Linked DNA regions of Pelodiscus sinensis. The protein of the gene in region 2 interacts with the protein of the main gene of each other region in a pairwise test. Links are inferred from orthologs where the notes say so. Each region holds a gene or a part of one and is shown on either strand. Other genes may lie near its edges.

Region 1 (7,945 bases), on a different chromosome or scaffold from region 2:
CTTTTGACTCTTCTCTGCTTCAAAATGTAGTGAAACGATATCAGTCAAATATTAAATGTACATAGACCATATATTTGAGATTATTGCCACATGGTTTATTACAGCAGTCTCTAAATTCCTTGCTGAATTGTAGTGCATAAATCTAAATGCCTTTGGTTACTCAATATTCTATCTCTCTTCTGATTTTATTTTATTTTGGAATTATAATCTGGCTGAACATTGTTTTGACAACCCTTTTCAATTCAAATAAAAAAAACCAAAAATGTGAAACTATGTGCAATTTCTAATTTATTTCATTTTCTTTTAACAGCCTTATGCAGATGAAAGCTGACAACAGAATGAAAGTAACTGGACTCATGCTGCATTTGTATCTAAACACTGTTTAAAATATGGACTTTTGATAAGCAACTATATTCTAAAAAGAAGGCATCTGTGGTGTAATACAATCTGATTTGCCAAAACGGACATCAGCAGAAGTTAATTTCATGTGTATCAGAATAATCTGTCTACAAAAATGTTATGGGGTGAGCTTAACTAATTCATACATATTATGACTATGCAAATTAAAAAATCAGAGTTGCCACATTTTTAAGGGTGGTTCATGTCTATTTTGTTTTGCGATTTGTAAGACTCAGCCTGGGGTCTGTTTGCCTCTTACCTTTTAACAAATTAAACTAAAAATGGTATAATTTACTTACTTGTAATTTTGTAATAAAGTCTCTTAAGCAGGGAGTGAAAACATCTAAAGATTCTAGCATTAAACATTTTAGGTCTTCGAAAGTAGACAAATCAAAAGGCTCAGTCAAAAAGAGTAAGGCAAAAGCATACCGTCATACACTATGTCAAATTCATGTATTAAATCAGTAATGCTGGGTTTCTTATCTGAAATGCAGCAAAAAAATACTCATAGAATTCTATGTCTAGATCTCTTACTAGCTCCATCACTAAGAATACATCAGAATACATACTTACTACTCCACATAATCACTTCCAGCAAAGATGCTGGACATCATGAATTGAAATCCTGGGGCCTTCCTTTTGGGCTTCAGGCTACATCTGGGTCAACTATCCCTATCTTTCTGTCACTTCTGTGCATATGTGCACAACTTTACCTTCCCCAAAATCTCCTAAACAGTGCATTTTTAGATGATTCTATTTTGTTCTTTTATCTTTATAAGCAGGTGCCAGCTCCACGCTGTGCCAAAATAGTTAAAGGCTATGTCAGTTCAGAATTCACCCCTGCCCTTAGCTTTGCCTTTATTAATTAGCTAATACTAAAAGAAAATAAAAAACCCAGAGAGGCTCCTTTCTCATGCCTTCTCCCCAAGCTTGGCTGCTCTTATGATTTTTCTCTTAAGACTGATGAGGCTTAGACCGAGTCCCAAACTGTTTACTAAGGTGACCCATCCACTGCATTTTCTTTCTTTTTGCAAGCCACCATTCCATATATGCACCCTCTGCCCTTGCGCTGTAATCTGAATCCTGGCCCAGTGCAGAGGAAGCTGGGGGCAAGGGAGGTTGAAGAGCAAGCCCACACTGCACTCACCCCTCTTCTATGCTCTCAGCTTTATGTGTAATGACCTGTTGTGTTACAGCACCACTCAAGTTTGGGGGGTGGCCAGGCTTTGTGACTCAATGTGTCTGGTTGCAATCACTGAACTAGGCAGCCAGGCCCGTTTTCGCAGGACAGAACCACCACTGTGGGATGTGGAGGGGACAGCCTTGCTCTCCACTCCCCCTCCTGTCTGCATCTGGCTGGCACAGTGTTGCTACGTCTAGACTACATTCCTTTTTCATAAAAGGGATGTAAATTAGACGTATCGCAATTGCTAATGAAGTGGGGATTTAAATCTCCCCCGCTTCATTAGCATAAAAATGGCTGCCGCTTTTTTTCGGCATGGAGCTTTGACGGAGAAATGCGCCAGTCTAGACGCTGATATTGTGGAAAATAAAGCCTTTTCCGAAAGATCCCTTATTTCATAGAGGGATAAGGGATCTTTCGGAAAAGGCTTTATTTTCCTCAAGATCAGTGTCTAGACTGGCGCTTTTCTCTGGCAAAGCTCCATGCCGAAAAAAAAGCGGCAGCCATTTTTATGCTAATTAAGCGGGAGAGATTTAAATCCCCGCTTCATTAGCAATTGTGATACGTATAATTTACATCCCTTTTACAAAAAAGGGATGTAATCTAGACGTAGCCTGTGTGTTACCTGGTTCAAGTCCCAGTGATGGGTTAACCTGGTCCTAGACACAGTGATTCATCTAGAATCTTCATGGGAACCACGATTTGGGAAACAATGGCTTAGATGTCTTTATCTGGGGGCTACTCTCCCTTCGCTTACATCCAGAATTAAAGAGTCGCACCTGTCACAATGAAGGAAGTATTTAAACTAATATCTCCCATCAGCTTTCTAATACCTTCTAACTTAATGGGTACACAAAAGAACCCAGCTGTCGTATTACAGTGCCATTCAGAATCTTGAAATGTTGACTTACCCAAGTTGGAAATCTTGTGGCCTTGATGTCTGAGATGTAACTCGCTTACAGAAGTTTCCTGTGTAATGCTGTACCAGGCATCCTATGCAAAATGGAGCTGAGGTCAGGTAGTTTAGTGTCATTCATTGGAAGATATGGTTCATGTGCTAGCTCAAACTCTGCACTACTGTCATGTTTAAATATTAATTGTATTTATTAATAAAAAATTGGGTGCTTTAATTTTTTGCACTGAATTTGTATATTTTTAATGCAGGACAATGTAGCACTTTAAAGACTAACAAGATGGTTTATTAGATGATGAGCTTTCGTGGGCCAGACCCACTTTCTCAGATCAGTTTTGATCTGAGGAAGTGGGTCTGGCCCACGAAAGCTCATCATCTAATAAACCATCTTGTTAGTCTTTAAAGTGCTACATTGTCCTGCATTTTGCTTCAGCTACCGCAGACTAACACGACTACATTTCTATCACTATTCTATATTTTTAATGTGTATCTAGGATTTCTGAAAAAAGTAAAAAGGAAGAAAAAAGGTACATGATAGAAATGACAATTTGGGATTGCTGTGTAGTGGTTTGAATAATTCTTTGGATACAGCAGTGTAGTTTTTCTAAATCTGGTGTTGCATACATCAGTGTAATTAATCATTTTAATATGATTACAAGAGAACTTTTTTATGCCTTGTTAATAACCCTAAATGTGTTTTTAAAAAATCATTAAAGAAAAACAGTAATCCCTCCTGTGGAAAGTGCACATGTAGTTAAGTGGGAGGAGATCAAACTATCATCTTGGAACTTGACAACACTCTTAATTCTGTGTACATCTCTCTTGAATTTCCTTATGTGCATGAGAAAGTCAGAGGGAACAATTTTATACATCACATGCTAGGAAAAAAAATCCTCTGTATGTGTCAAAAGCTATTTAGAAAATAAAACTGCTTCTTCCGGGGCACTATAGGTGTATATGAGAGAGGTTCCATCAAGTGCAGGGATGAAATGTCTGTCTGCAAACTGCCTAGCTGTGCAGACTAGAACACCATGGAGAGAAGGCTCTCGTTTTATAGCATGGTGAGTCCATCCTGTTCCACGACTAAGGCTAAGTGCTGTGACAATATTTAAAAGTTTGGCAGAAAGTTAATTTTTAGTTTGTATAATTTTGATGGGTAGTGTAATTGCAGATGTTTAGTTCTGCCCATTTTTTTCCAGTTTGTAGCTATTTGAAATGTATACTAATCACCAGCCACACCGGAAACACTAACCCAGGAACCAATCTCTGCAACAAACCCCATTGCCACCTCTGTTCATATATCCATGCTAATGACTAGGGCTCAACAAACCGCTGAATCTACTTGCCCGTGGCGAGTAGATTTCAGTAGGTTGCTCCGAGCGCCCCATTCATCAGCGCTTTGCGCATGCGCAGTGGGGTGCTGGCAAGTGGCTCTCGCTGGGGTTTGTCAAGCCCTGCTAATGACATCACATTAGTAGACATGCAGGTGAACAGGCCAAACCTGGGATAGGTGCAGTAATGGCTATTAGCCAGGATGAGCAGGGATGGGGTCCCTAGCCTCTGTTTGCCAGAAGCTGGGATGGGTGCCAGGGCAGGGATCACTTGAGGTTTACCTGCAGGCTGTGTCTAGACTGGCATGATTTTCCGGAAATGCTTTTAACATCTTTTCGGAAAAGAGCGTCTAGATTGGCAAGGATGCTTTTCTGCAAACGCACTTTTTGCGGAAATGCGTCCGTGGCCAATCTAGACGCGCTTTTGTGCAAAAAAGCCCCGATCGCCATTTTTGCCATCGGGGCTTTTTTTGCGGAAAACAAATCTGAGCTGTCTACACTGGCCCTTTTACGCAAAAGTTTTGCACAAAAGGGACTTTTGCCCCAACGGGAGCAGCATCGTATTTCCGCAAGAAGCCCTGATCTCAGACAGTAGGAAGTCAGGGCTTTTGCGGACATTCAAGCGGCCAGTGTAGGCAGCTGGCAAGTTTTTCCGGAAAGGCGGCTGATTTTCTGGAAAAACTGGCCAGTCTAGACACCTGGCTTGGGCCAGGCAGGACGCTGGGCGAGGTGCTCTCGTGGGCCAGCAGCGCCCCCTGCGGGCCAGCCTGTGTCTACACCCCGCAGACACTGGACGGGAAGGAGACGCGCAGCCGAGAGGGGGGGAGGAGGGATCTTGAGACGCCAGACGGCGCAGCATCCCTATGTGGGTGCCCCCCCCACTCGTCAGGGGCTGAAACCAGCGCCCCCCGCTGAGCCCCCAAACGCTTCCAGGCTCCGACCTGCCAGGCAGCGCAGACTACAGCCCCCAGCCTGCACCGCGCGCCGGCCTCCCAAAGGGAAGGCGGCTCTCGAGCCCCCGCGGCATGCTGGGAGTTGGAGTCTGAGACGCGCGCCAGCCCCGGGGCATGCTGGGACGCCTCTAGCTCGCCGCGGTCCGGGCTCCCCGCCCTCAGCGGTGGCGGGCGCGCGGCGATGACGAACGATGCCCCGCGCCCGAAGCGTTCGTCTCCTTGGCGACGATGGCCGGGCGGAGGGGCCGCAGCCCGCTGCAGGGGGCTCAGCGGCGGGGCCGCGAGCTGCGGCGGCAGGTACCGGCCCCTCGGGGGGGATCCGATCCGGGCAAGGGGAGCGGCGCCCCCTGCTGGCGGTGGGGGGATCCGGTCCGGGCAAGGGGAGCGGCGCCCCCTGCTGGCGGGGTGGGGGGATCCGGTCCGGGCAAGGGGAGCGGCGCCCCCTGCTGGCGGGGTGGGGGATCCGGTCCGGGCAAGGGGAGCGGCGCCCCCTGCTGGCGGGGTGGGGGATCCGGTCCGGGCAAGGGGAGCGGCGCCCCCTGCTGGCGGGGTGGGGGATCCGGTCCGGGCAAGGGGAGCGGCGCCCCCTGCTGGCGGGGTGGGGGGATCCGGTCCGGGCAAGGGGAGCGGCGCCCCCTGCTGGCGGGGTGGGGGATCCGGTCCGGGCAAGGGGAGCGGCGCCCCCTGCTGGCGGGGTGGGGGGATCCGGTCCGGGCAAGGGGAGCGGCGCCCCCTGCTGGCGGGGTGGGGGGACCCAGTCCGGGCAAGGGGAGCGGCGCCCCCTGCTGGCGGGGTGGGGGGATCCGGTCCGGGCAAGGGGAGCGGCGCCCCCTGCTGGCGGTGGGGGGATCCGGTCCGGGCAAGGGGAGCGGCGCCCCCTGCTGGCGGGGTGGGGGATCCGGTCCGGGCAAGGGGAGCGGCGCCCCCTGCTGGCGGGGTGGGGGATCCGGTCCGGGCAAGGGGAGCGGCGCCCCCTGCTGGCGGGGTGGGGGATCCGGTCCGGGCAAGGGGAGCGGCGCCCCCTGCTGGCGGGGTGGGGGGATCCGGTCCGGGCAAGGGGAGCGGCGCCCCCTGCTGGCGGGGTGGGGGATCCGGTCCGGGCAAGGGGAGCGGCGCCCCCTGCTGGCGGGGTGGGGGGATCCGGTCCGGGCAAGGGGAGCGGCGCCCCCTGCTGGCGGGGTGGGGGGACCCAGTCCGGGCAAGGGGAGCGGCGCCCCCTGCTGGCGGGGTGGGGGGATCCGGTCCGGGCAAGGGGAGCGGCGCCCCCTGCTGGCGGTGGGGGGATCCGGTCCGGGCAAGGGGAGCGGCGCCCCCTGCTGGCGGGGTGGGGGATCCGGTCCGGGCAAGGGGAGCGGCGCCCCCTGCTGGCGGGGTGGGGGATCCGGTCCGGGCAAGGGGAGCGGCGCCCCCTGCTGGCGGGGTGGGGGATCCGGTCCGGGCAAGGGGAGCGGCGCCCTCTGCTGGCAGGGTGGGGGATCCGGTCCGGGCAAGGGGAGCAGCGCCCCCTGCTGGTGGGAAAAGTCCAGTCCAGACAGGGGAACAGCACTCCCTCATGGCGGTGGGGGGAGCCAGTCTGTGCAAGGGGAGCAGCGCCCCCTGCTGGTGGCGTGGGTGGGATCCAGGCTGGGCAAAGGGAGCAACGCCCCCTGCTGGCAGGGTGGGGGGATCCAGGCTGGTAGGCGGTGTGGGGAGATCCAGGCTGGGCAGGGGAGCAGTGCCCTCTGCTGGTAGGATGGTGGGGTCCAGTCTGGGGAAGGGGTGTGGCACCCCGGATGTCATGGTTGGGGTTGGGAACGTTTCTTGTTTGATATCTGAGCCTCCAAGCCCATCTTCCCTGTGCTGTGCATCTCTGAATGCTGAAATCTTACCATGCAGGTGGATGAATTGCTTGCGGAGAGCAAGGAGAGGAGGGCCCTAGATCCTGCGAGAAGGAAGTACCTTTTTCAGAGGTAATTAATCCTAGCAATACACACGGCATAGAGGCAAAATGCACCGCTGGATCTGAAATCCAGGCTGGGACATGCGGGTAATATTTGTGAAGGGCTAAGCTGTTTGTCATTGAGGGATAACTGCAGCTGATTTTGATAGAAAGTTCCCTAAACAATTTTGCTATTAAATTCATCTTCAGTGATGTGGAGGGATGCCCATGTAAATTAATTATGGGGATTGGAAAGTTGAATAGTGGGCTCGAAGCCAGGAGACATAGGTTCTAGTCCCAGTCTTGCCACTCACTTCCTCTCTGTTTCCCCATCCATACAGAGAGGATAACTATCCTTCCTTTGTACCTGTCCTTTGTTTTTTTATCCAAGGATCAGAAGCTTCTGCTGATGAATCTAATATAATTATTTTAGAATTTTCAGTTAAACTAAACATGAAATAAAAAAATATATTCTGAAGTGGCAAGTTTGAACTCCCACGTCAGGCAATGGAAAGTGTAAAACAGGAGAAGCTGATGCAGTTCCTCTTGTGGAATTATTCTAGGCAAAGTTCGGAGGTACCTCTATGTGTGATTCTGTTCTGTGGAAAAATACATATGGATCCCATGTGCCTTGCTTTCTTTTTTAAATCAAATACATGGTTTTAAAAGTTGCAGTCTCTTTCTGCTTCTGGGGCAGATGATGTTGGGGTTAGCCTACCATGAGGCAAATACTCATTTCTTCTAATGCTATTATTTACATAGCACTAAAAACACACACAGAGAATTTAGGAAGGCAAAGTTCCTTTCCTAAGGGGCTTAAAATCTGTGCACTCGAGTAACCCCATTGACTTTAGTGGGACGACTTATGTTTGTAAAGTTACATATGTGTATAAGTACTCTGAGGTTATGTCTACACTACAAGCTTCTTTTGGAAGAAGCTTTTCTGGAAGATCTCTTCCAGAAAATCTTATTTCGAAAGAGTGTCTACACAGCAAAAGTGCAACGAAAAAGCGATGAGCTTTTTTGAAAATATCGTCCACATTAATTGGACACTGTCTCGCATTTAAGTTGTGATTAGTCTGGATGGAGTGGTTTTTCTGGAGGCCCTTCTTTCGAAAGAGCTCCCTCTTCTGCATCCATACACACCTTTTTCCAAAAAAGCTTTTTTGGAAAAAGGCTTCTTCCCCGTGGAATGAGGTTTACCGCCATCGGAAAAACCCCTCCATTCGTTTGTCTTTCTTTCGAAAT
Region 2 (8,009 bases):
GGACCCCCCTTCCTCACTGGGCTGTTGGATGGTGACAGTCGCCTTCGGGGCTCGGCCGCACGTGGCGCTGGACGTACCCGCAGCACCAGGCCGCCCAGCCCCACAGCGCCTGCCGTCGGAACCAGGCCCAGGGAGGAGAATGGCCCCGAGGGGGCTGGTAGCCCCCCCGGCCATGGCAGAACCAGCTGCCCAGAGACGCAGGCGACCGCCCCATCCCCCCCCACCTTTCCGCTCACCGGGGCAAATCTGCGGCAAAGGGGGTTGGACAGAGAACCCCGAACACAGCAGGGGAACCAGCCAGCTAAGCCGTCACCAGCTCCCACAGCGCAGAGACACCCCCCCGCCGTGGGCACTGCCAAAGGGGTCTGTGACCCCCGCCACCTGGGAAGATCCCCCCCAGCCCTGGTCGGCCCCAGCCAGGGGGCAGGCCCTGGCCGAAGGGGGCGTCTCCTCTCAAGGGTTCCAAGTGCTGCGGGGGGGGGGGGGGGGGGGGTCCCTGCCCCCGCTCTGCTGTAGCATGACAGGAGTCGCTCCCCTCCCCCGCGGGGCCCTGCGCCAGGCCGAAGGCTGATTGCCGGGTGAATCATTAACGCCGTCGCTGACGCAGGCGGGCAGGGCACTTACGCTCTGCCACTAGCCACCGGCTGTGCCAGTTCCCCCCCCGCCGGCCCCTGGCACCACGTGGCCTCCTCCAGCAACGGCTCCCTCCCCCCTTCTATTGCCAGTGGCAAATCTCACGGGGGGGGGGGAATCCGGCCCCCCCAACAGGCTTCGGGGCCCCCTGCCCAGCACAGACCCAGCTCCCGATGGTCAAATGTTGCCAGACCCCCAGCTTGGACAGCCTGGTTCCAGGCACCCACACAGCCGGGGGGGAGGGGAGAGGCAGCCTAGGGCCCAGTGTGGGTCAGGGCGCTGTGGGCCTCCTCCCTTGCCCCCGGGGCCAGCAAGGGGGCAGTGCCTGGTGACACCCCCTCCTGGCTGTCATGGGCTGGTGCCAAGTGCCAGAGCACCCTGGCTCAATCGCAGGGTGCAGGCCCTGCCGGGGGGTGACCCAGGAAGGCGCCAGCTGGGTGGGAGCAGGGGGCACTGCCCCTGTCCCATGGGGCCGAGTCAGGGAGGGAGCGCCGGCCAGTGGGGAGAGCAGGGCGGGGAAGTCCGGTGCTCGGCCGGATGTGCCACACGACTTCCAGGCAGGTCACTTCCTCTGCGAGCCCCGGGCCCAACCTGAGCCAGAGTCGGCCCTGCCTGCCCTCGGGGGGATGAAGGGGCCGAGTGTCCGGGGAACCTCTGGGCCATCTTGGCCACCAGGCCCTGGTTCAGAGCCCCGAGAGCCGGGGCTGGCAGGCGCTAGGGGCCGGGGCAGGGCAGCGGCCCATGCTGGGGGAGGGGATCCTAGGGGGGAACAAATGCTCAGGACATATGCCCAGGTCGCAGCCAGGCTGCCCGCTGGGACAGGCCCCTGGCTGGGAACCCAGTCCCCGGGCGGGGCCCCCATCCCAGGCACCCCTCGGGCCAGCCAGGACCTGCGCCCGCTGCTGGCATGAGACGGCTCCGGCAGCGGGGAAGGACAGTGCATGCCCGCCCTGGCACCGGGGCACGGAGCCTACGGCCGGGTCTGGGCCACCAGTCCAGCGAGCACCAGGGCCTGGCCCGAGACCTAACTCATCACGGGGGGGGGGGGGGGGGGGGGGGGGGGGTTGAGCAGCTAGGGGCCCGGCCTGAGACCCAACCAACGCATCACGGGGGGCGGGGGGGGGACTGAGCAACTAGGGGCCCGGCCTGAGACCCAACCAACTCATCACGGGGGGGGGGGGGGGGGACGACTGAGCAGCTAGGAGACCAGCCTGAGACCCAACCAATTCAACACAGGGGTCGGGGGGGACTGAGCAGCTAGGAGCCCAGCCTGAGACCTAACCAATTCAACACGGGGGGGGGGGGGGGACTGAGCAGCTAGGGGCCCAGCCTGAGACCCAACCAATTCAACACAGGGGTCGGGGGGGACTGAGCAGCTAGGAGCCCAGCCTGAGACCTAACCAATTCAACACGGGGGGGGGGGGGACTGAGCAGCTAGGGGCCCAGCCTGAGACCCAACCAATTCAACACGGGGGGGGGGGGGGACGACTGAGCAGCTAGGAGCCCAGCCTGAGACCCAACCAATTCAACACGGGGGGGGGGGGGGACTGAGCAGCTAGGGGCCCAGCCTGAGACCCAACCAATTCAACACGGGGGGGGGGGGGGACTGAGCAGCTAGGGGCCCAGCCTGAGACCTAACCAATTCAACACGGGGGGGGGGGGGGACTGAGCAGCTAGGGGCCCAGCCTGAGACCCAACCAATTCAACACGGGGGGGGGGGGGGACTGAGCAGCTAGGGGCCCAGCCTGAGACCCAACCAATTCAACACAGGGGTCGGGGGGGACTGAGCAGCTAGGGGCCCGGCCTGAGACCCAACCAATTCAACACAGGGGTCGGGGGGGGGGGGGGGGGACTGAGCAGCTAGGGGCCCGGCCTGAGACCCAACCAACTCATCACGGGGGGGGAGGGGGGTCCGTCGCGCTCTCCCGCAAAGGACAAAGCCGCTTCGCCGCGCACCGAGCCTCACGCCCGGCCCCAGCCCCGGCTCCACCCCCAGCGCAGGCCCCCGGCGCGGCCGGGCTCTGGGCCGGCGAATGACCCTCCCCGGGCCCGCTGCGGGGCCCGATCCGGCGCCGGGGGCCGCCCGCTCCGTGCCACGTCGTGCGGGGCAGGGCGCTCGGCGCGGCCGCGGCTCCGCATTGTCCCGCGGGGCGGCCCGGAGCTGCCAGCGGGGCCCGGCTGCCCGGCAGGAGGCGGCGGGGATGGGCCGGGGCCGGCGCCAGGAGGCGGCGGGGATGGGCCGGGCCGCGGCGGGCGGGGGGGGGGGGGGGGGCACTCACCAGGTAGTTCATCTTCCCCGGCGGCCCCGCCGCGGGCCCAGGCGGCGCGGCCCGGCTCGGCGCGGCTCGGCAGCTCCGCACCCCAGCGCTCCCCCGGCCGACTGGCCGCCGCGCCGCCTGGGCTGGGCTGGGCAGCGAGCCCGCCCCCAGCGCCGCCCTCCGCACGCCCGCCCGCCGGCAGCAGGGGGCGCCCTGCGCGTGTGACACGGGGCTGCGTGTGCGCCTGAGTGTGTGACACGGGGCTGCGTGTGAGAGTGTGTGACACGGGACTGCGTGTGCGCCTGAGTGTGTGACACGGGGCTGCGTGTGTGAGTGTGTGACACGGGGCTGTGTGTGTGTGTGTGTGACACGGGGCTGCGTGTGCGCCTGAGTGTGTGACACGGGGCTGCGTGTGTGTGTGTGTGACACGGGGCTGCGTGTGTGAGTGTGTGACACGGGGCTGCATGTGCGCCTGTGTGTGTGACATGGGGCTAAGTGTGTGAGTGTGTGACACGGGGCTGCGCGTGCGCCTGTGAGTGTGTGACACGGGGCTGCGTGTGCGCGTGAGTGTGTGACACGAGGCTGCATGTGTGAGTGTGTGACATTGGGCTGCTTATGCGCCTGTGGTTGTGTGACACGGGACTGCATGTGTGAGTGTGTGACACAGGGTTGCATGTGAGTGTGTGAGTGTGACACGGGACTGTGTGTGCACGCGTGTGTGTGACACAGGACTGTGTGTGCACGTGTGTGTGACATGGGGCTGCATGTGCATGAGTGTGTGAAACGGGACTGTGTGTGTGTGTGACACAGGGCTGCATGTGCACGTGTGAGTGTGTGACACGGGGCTGTGTGTGCGCGCATGTGTGTGACACAGGACTGCGTGCATGTGTATGTGTGTGTGTGTGTGACATGGAGCTGCGTTTGTGTGTATGTGGCATGGGACTGCCTGTCTGTATGTGTGTGTGACACGAGACTGCGTGTGTGACATGGGACTCTGTGAGTGTGTATTTGAGACATGGGGCTGTGTGTGTGTGAGTGTATGAGATGGGGCTCTGTGTGTGTGATTGCATGTGTGACATGGGATTATATGTGTGTGTTCATGCGGATGTGTGTGACACGAGGCTGTGTGTGTGTGTGTGTGAGACACAGGACTGCGAGTGTATAACACAGGGGTGTGTGTGTGTGTGTGACACGGGACGCTTGTATGTGTGACATGGGACTGTGTGAGTGTGTGTGTGTGTGACATGGGGCTGTGTGTAAGAGAGAGAAAGACACAGGGCTGTGCGTGTTCGTGTATGTGTGTGACACAGGGCTGTATGTGTGAGAGAGACATGGTGCTGTGTGCGTGTGTGTGACACAGGGCTGTGTGTGTTTGTGCGTGTGTGTGACACAGGGCTCTGTGTGTGTGTGCATGTATGTGACACAAGGCTGTGTGTGTTCGTGCATGTGGGTGCATGTATGTGACATAGGGCTCTGTGTGTTTGTGCATGTGTGTGACGGCTGTGCATGTGACACAGTGCTGTGTATGTTCGTGCGTGTGTGCAACACAGGGCTGTGTGTGCGCACGTGTATGTGACGCAGGGCTGTGTGTATGACAGGGCTCTGTGTGTGTGCGTGTATGTGACACAGGGCTGTGTGAGTGCGTGTGTGACATGGCTGTGTGTACATGCGTGTGTGTGACACGGGGCTGTGTGTGTGACAGGGCTGTGTGTGCATGTGACACAGGGCTGTGTGTGAGTGCGTGTGTGACAGCTATGTGCGTGTATGTGACACAGGGCTGCATGTGCGTGCGCGCGTGCGACACAGGGCTGCGTGTGCGTGCGTGTGACACGGGGCCGTGTGTGTGTGTGAGGGGTGAGTTGTTACCCCATGAACGGTGCTGGAGAGACCTGGGCAGACCCGTTGTACCCATCTATGGGGCCTTACCCCAGGGCGGTTCATCCAGGAAGCGCTCGCCTACGCACTGATCGAATTGTGGCCACAGGAGTTTGCAGCGCTCACCGCAGTAAAGCAACACAACTTCCCGGGGGCTGGAGCATCGCTCCCGGCTGCAGCCGGCTTTGCGAGCTGCATTGCCCCGTGCACCGTGGCCAGCGGTGTTTACTGGGACACGTAGGGACAGATTTGACCCCCCCTTCGGAAAAACAAGCCTCCGGTGGCGGATTAGCTAAAAGGCCAACGGTGCCAGGCAGTGTGTAAGTCTCAGCTTGACCAAGCCCTGGCTGGGCTGATTGAGTCGGGGTTGGTCCAGCCGTGGGCAGGGGGCTGGACTCGGTGCCTCCTGAGGGCTCTGCCCGCCCTGGAGTTCTATGATTCTACGAAGGGGGGGGGAGAAAAGTTGGCACCTCCCACCCGCTTGCCTGCCAGGGAGCAGGGTCTGGGGGAGGAGGCGTGGGGGGGGTGAGAGAATCACCATGCTCCACTACAGCCCCCCCACAAGCCCTTGGGTGGTGCCAGGGTGGGGGTGGGGCTGGCACTGGCTGGCCCAGTCCAATTGAGACCTAATTTGAGCCCTGGAGACTGCCTTGAAAGGTGCGCATGGGGGACACACGGCCCAGAGTGGCGAGGAGCCGGGAGCCGGGAGCCGGGGTAAGGAGGCTGAACGCCTGGCTGGCATGAATTGTATTAATGGCCCAGGGAGTGCTCGGAGCTGTACACACATACAGGGGTGCGCAGCCCCTGCCCAGAAGAGTAAACTGTCCTGCCACACGCTGTCTGTCTGGGCTGCGTGAGCGATCGCTGTGGCTCCTGTGTTCCTACAGCGCCCGGCACACCCGGGCCTCCTCCGTGCTACCGGAATCTACGTAACACCGCTCTCCAGGCCGCTGTCCTGCATGAAAACGTGGGACTCATCCCACTGTGGCTATGTCTACACAGGGCGATCTTGCGCCAGAGATATGCAAATGAGGCTAAGCGTGGACTATCGCCGAGCCTCATTTGCATATCTAATGAGCCGCCATGTTTGCAGAAGAGGCTCTTGCGCAAGGAGCTGTCTACACGGCCCCTTCTTGCACAAGAAAAACCCTCTTGCGCAAAGCCGCTACGCTGGTTATTTTCGGGAAGGGGCAGGCCCTGCGGGAGGGGGCAGGGACAGGCCCTGCGGGAAGGGACAGGTTCTACAGAAAGGGGGAAGGCCCTGCAGGGAGGGGACAAGTGCTGTGGGAAGGGGGCAGGCCCTGCGGGAGGGGACAGGCCCTGCGGGAGGGGACAGGCGCTGCGGGAAGGGGGCAGGCCCTGCAGGAGGGGACAGGTGCTGCGGGAAGGGGGCAGGCGCTGCGGGAAGGGGACAGGCCCTAAGGGAAGGGGGCAGGCCCTGCGGGAGGGGACAGGCCCTGCGGGAGGGGACAGGCGCTGCGGGAGGGGGCAGGCCCTGTGGGAGGGGACAGGCGCTGCGGGAGGGGACAGGCCCTGCGGGAAGGGGGCAGGCGCTGCGGGAGGGGGCAGGCCCTGAGGGAAGGGGGCAGGCGCTGCGGGAAGGGGACAGGCCCTGAGGGAAGGGGGCAGGCCCTGCGGGATGGGACAGGCCCTGTGGGAAGGGGGCAGGCCCTGCGGGATGGGACAGGCCCTGTGGGAAGGGGGCAGGCCCTGCGGGATGGGACAGGCCCTGTGGGAAGGGGACAGGCCCTGTGGGAAGGGGACAGGCCCTGAGGGAAGGGGGCAGGCCCTGCGGGATGGGACAGGCCCTGCGGGAAGGGGACAGGCCCTGTGGGAAGGGGACAGGCCCTGTGGGAAGGGGGCAGGCCCTGCGGGATGGGACAGGCCCTGCGGGAAGGGGACAGGCCCTGTGGGAAGGGGGCAGGCCCTGCGGGATGGGACAGGCCCTGTGGGAAGGGGGCAGGCCCTGCGGGAAGGGGACAGGCGCTGCGGGAAGGGGACAGGCCCTGTGGGAAGGGGGCAGGCCTTGCGGGATGGGACAGGCCCTGCGGGAAGGGGACAGGCCCTGTGGGAAGGGGGCAGGCCCTGCGGGAAGGGGACAGGCCCTGAGGGAAGGGGACAGGCCCTGCGGGAAGGGGGCAGGCCTTGCGGGAAGGGGACAGGCCCTGCGGGAAGGGGACAGGCCCTGTGGGAAGGGGGCAGGCCCTGCGGGAAGGGGACAGGCCCCGCGGGAAGGGGGCAGGCCCTGCAGGAATTGAGCACAGGGGCTGCTGTTGTGATCAGGAGGCAGGCTATTCTGCAGCCCGGCATGTGGTAGGGCAGGGCCCTCCCCACCCTCCAGCACAGGCGAGGCCCAGCAGCGGGCTGAGTGCCTGGTGGGGGCCATTCCTTTCTCTCTCTCCCCCTTGCTCCTTACAGCCCCCTCATTTGCTAAATCAGCCCCCCAAGAGAGGAGTTTGCTCGGGAGTCTTTCCTTCCTGTTGTAAAGACCTACCTGGTGTGTCTGTCTTTCTCTGATTTTCTGTGTGTCATATGCCCTCTACTGCTGGCAGTTACTGGAGAGTCTCCTGTGGCGGCCTGAGCTGTCAGAGCAGGAGGAGCTGTGTGCCTCGCTTCGGTTGAAGTCCATGGAAACGGCCACTAGTGGCTATCGGGAGGGTCCCCGGTGAGGTGGGTTATGCTGCAGGGAGAGGCGCAGGCCCGGCCCGTTGACATGGCGGTGAGTTACACCCGACGTCGGGCTGAGCTTGTGGGCAGGACGGCTGAAAAGACGGCCTAGGCGGGGCGGGCGGGTTCTGCCAGGCGGAGCAGGAAGCCAGCCTGCCCCAGAGCTGATCCTGCACTGCCCGCACAGCAGAGCCCCAGGGAGACGGCACCATGCCGCTGCCAGGGAGGGGAAATGAAATCCCAGCCCCAGCTCAGCCAGCCCCACGACACAGCGCTCCCAGCCCCGGCGGCGAGGCCTGGCTCCCGGCAAAGGGCTGACGTCAGCCACTCCCCGACCCCTTTCCGTCCGACAAAGGGATCCTGCCGGGGCTGGGGGAGCAGGGGACTCCGCGGGGAGGCTGCGCGGGCCGCTGGCCTGAAAAGGATCTTATCTCGGGAGCCGAGACACGTCCCAACAGCGCTGCTACCAAACAGCTGGCCAAGGGTTCCCAGGGGCCATGGCCGCGGGTTAGAGAGATCCGGCCTCGTTGCGCACGCAGGAACGTCTTTTCCAGGTCTCCCGTGCCGGGCTCAGAA

What was found. The genes of interacting proteins can lie anywhere in the genome.
Region 1: the proteins of BCAR1 (region 2) and NPHP1 interact in a two-hybrid assay, tested with the Homo sapiens proteins (2 studies listed by BioGRID). The link is inferred for Pelodiscus sinensis from reciprocal best matches to the Homo sapiens genes BCAR1 and NPHP1.

The regions. Positions count from the first base shown.
Region 1 is NC_134713.1:196,721,136-196,729,080, reverse strand, and holds the start of NPHP1 (nephrocystin-1), read left to right. Parts: upstream 1-4,893; 5' UTR 4,894-5,007; coding exon 5,008-5,076; intron 5,077-6,654; coding exon 6,655-6,728; intron 6,729-7,945. UniProt on the Homo sapiens protein: Together with BCAR1 it may play a role in the control of epithelial cell polarity. Involved in the organization of apical junctions in kidney cells together with NPHP4 and RPGRIP1L/NPHP8. Does not seem to be strictly required for ciliogenesis.
Region 2 is NC_134722.1:47,958,838-47,966,846, reverse strand, and holds the start of BCAR1 (breast cancer anti-estrogen resistance protein 1), read right to left. Parts: upstream 3,073-8,009; 5' UTR 2,925-3,072; coding exon 2,913-2,924; intron 1-2,912. UniProt on the Homo sapiens protein: Docking protein which plays a central coordinating role for tyrosine kinase-based signaling related to cell adhesion. Implicated in induction of cell migration and cell branching. Involved in the BCAR3-mediated inhibition of TGFB signaling.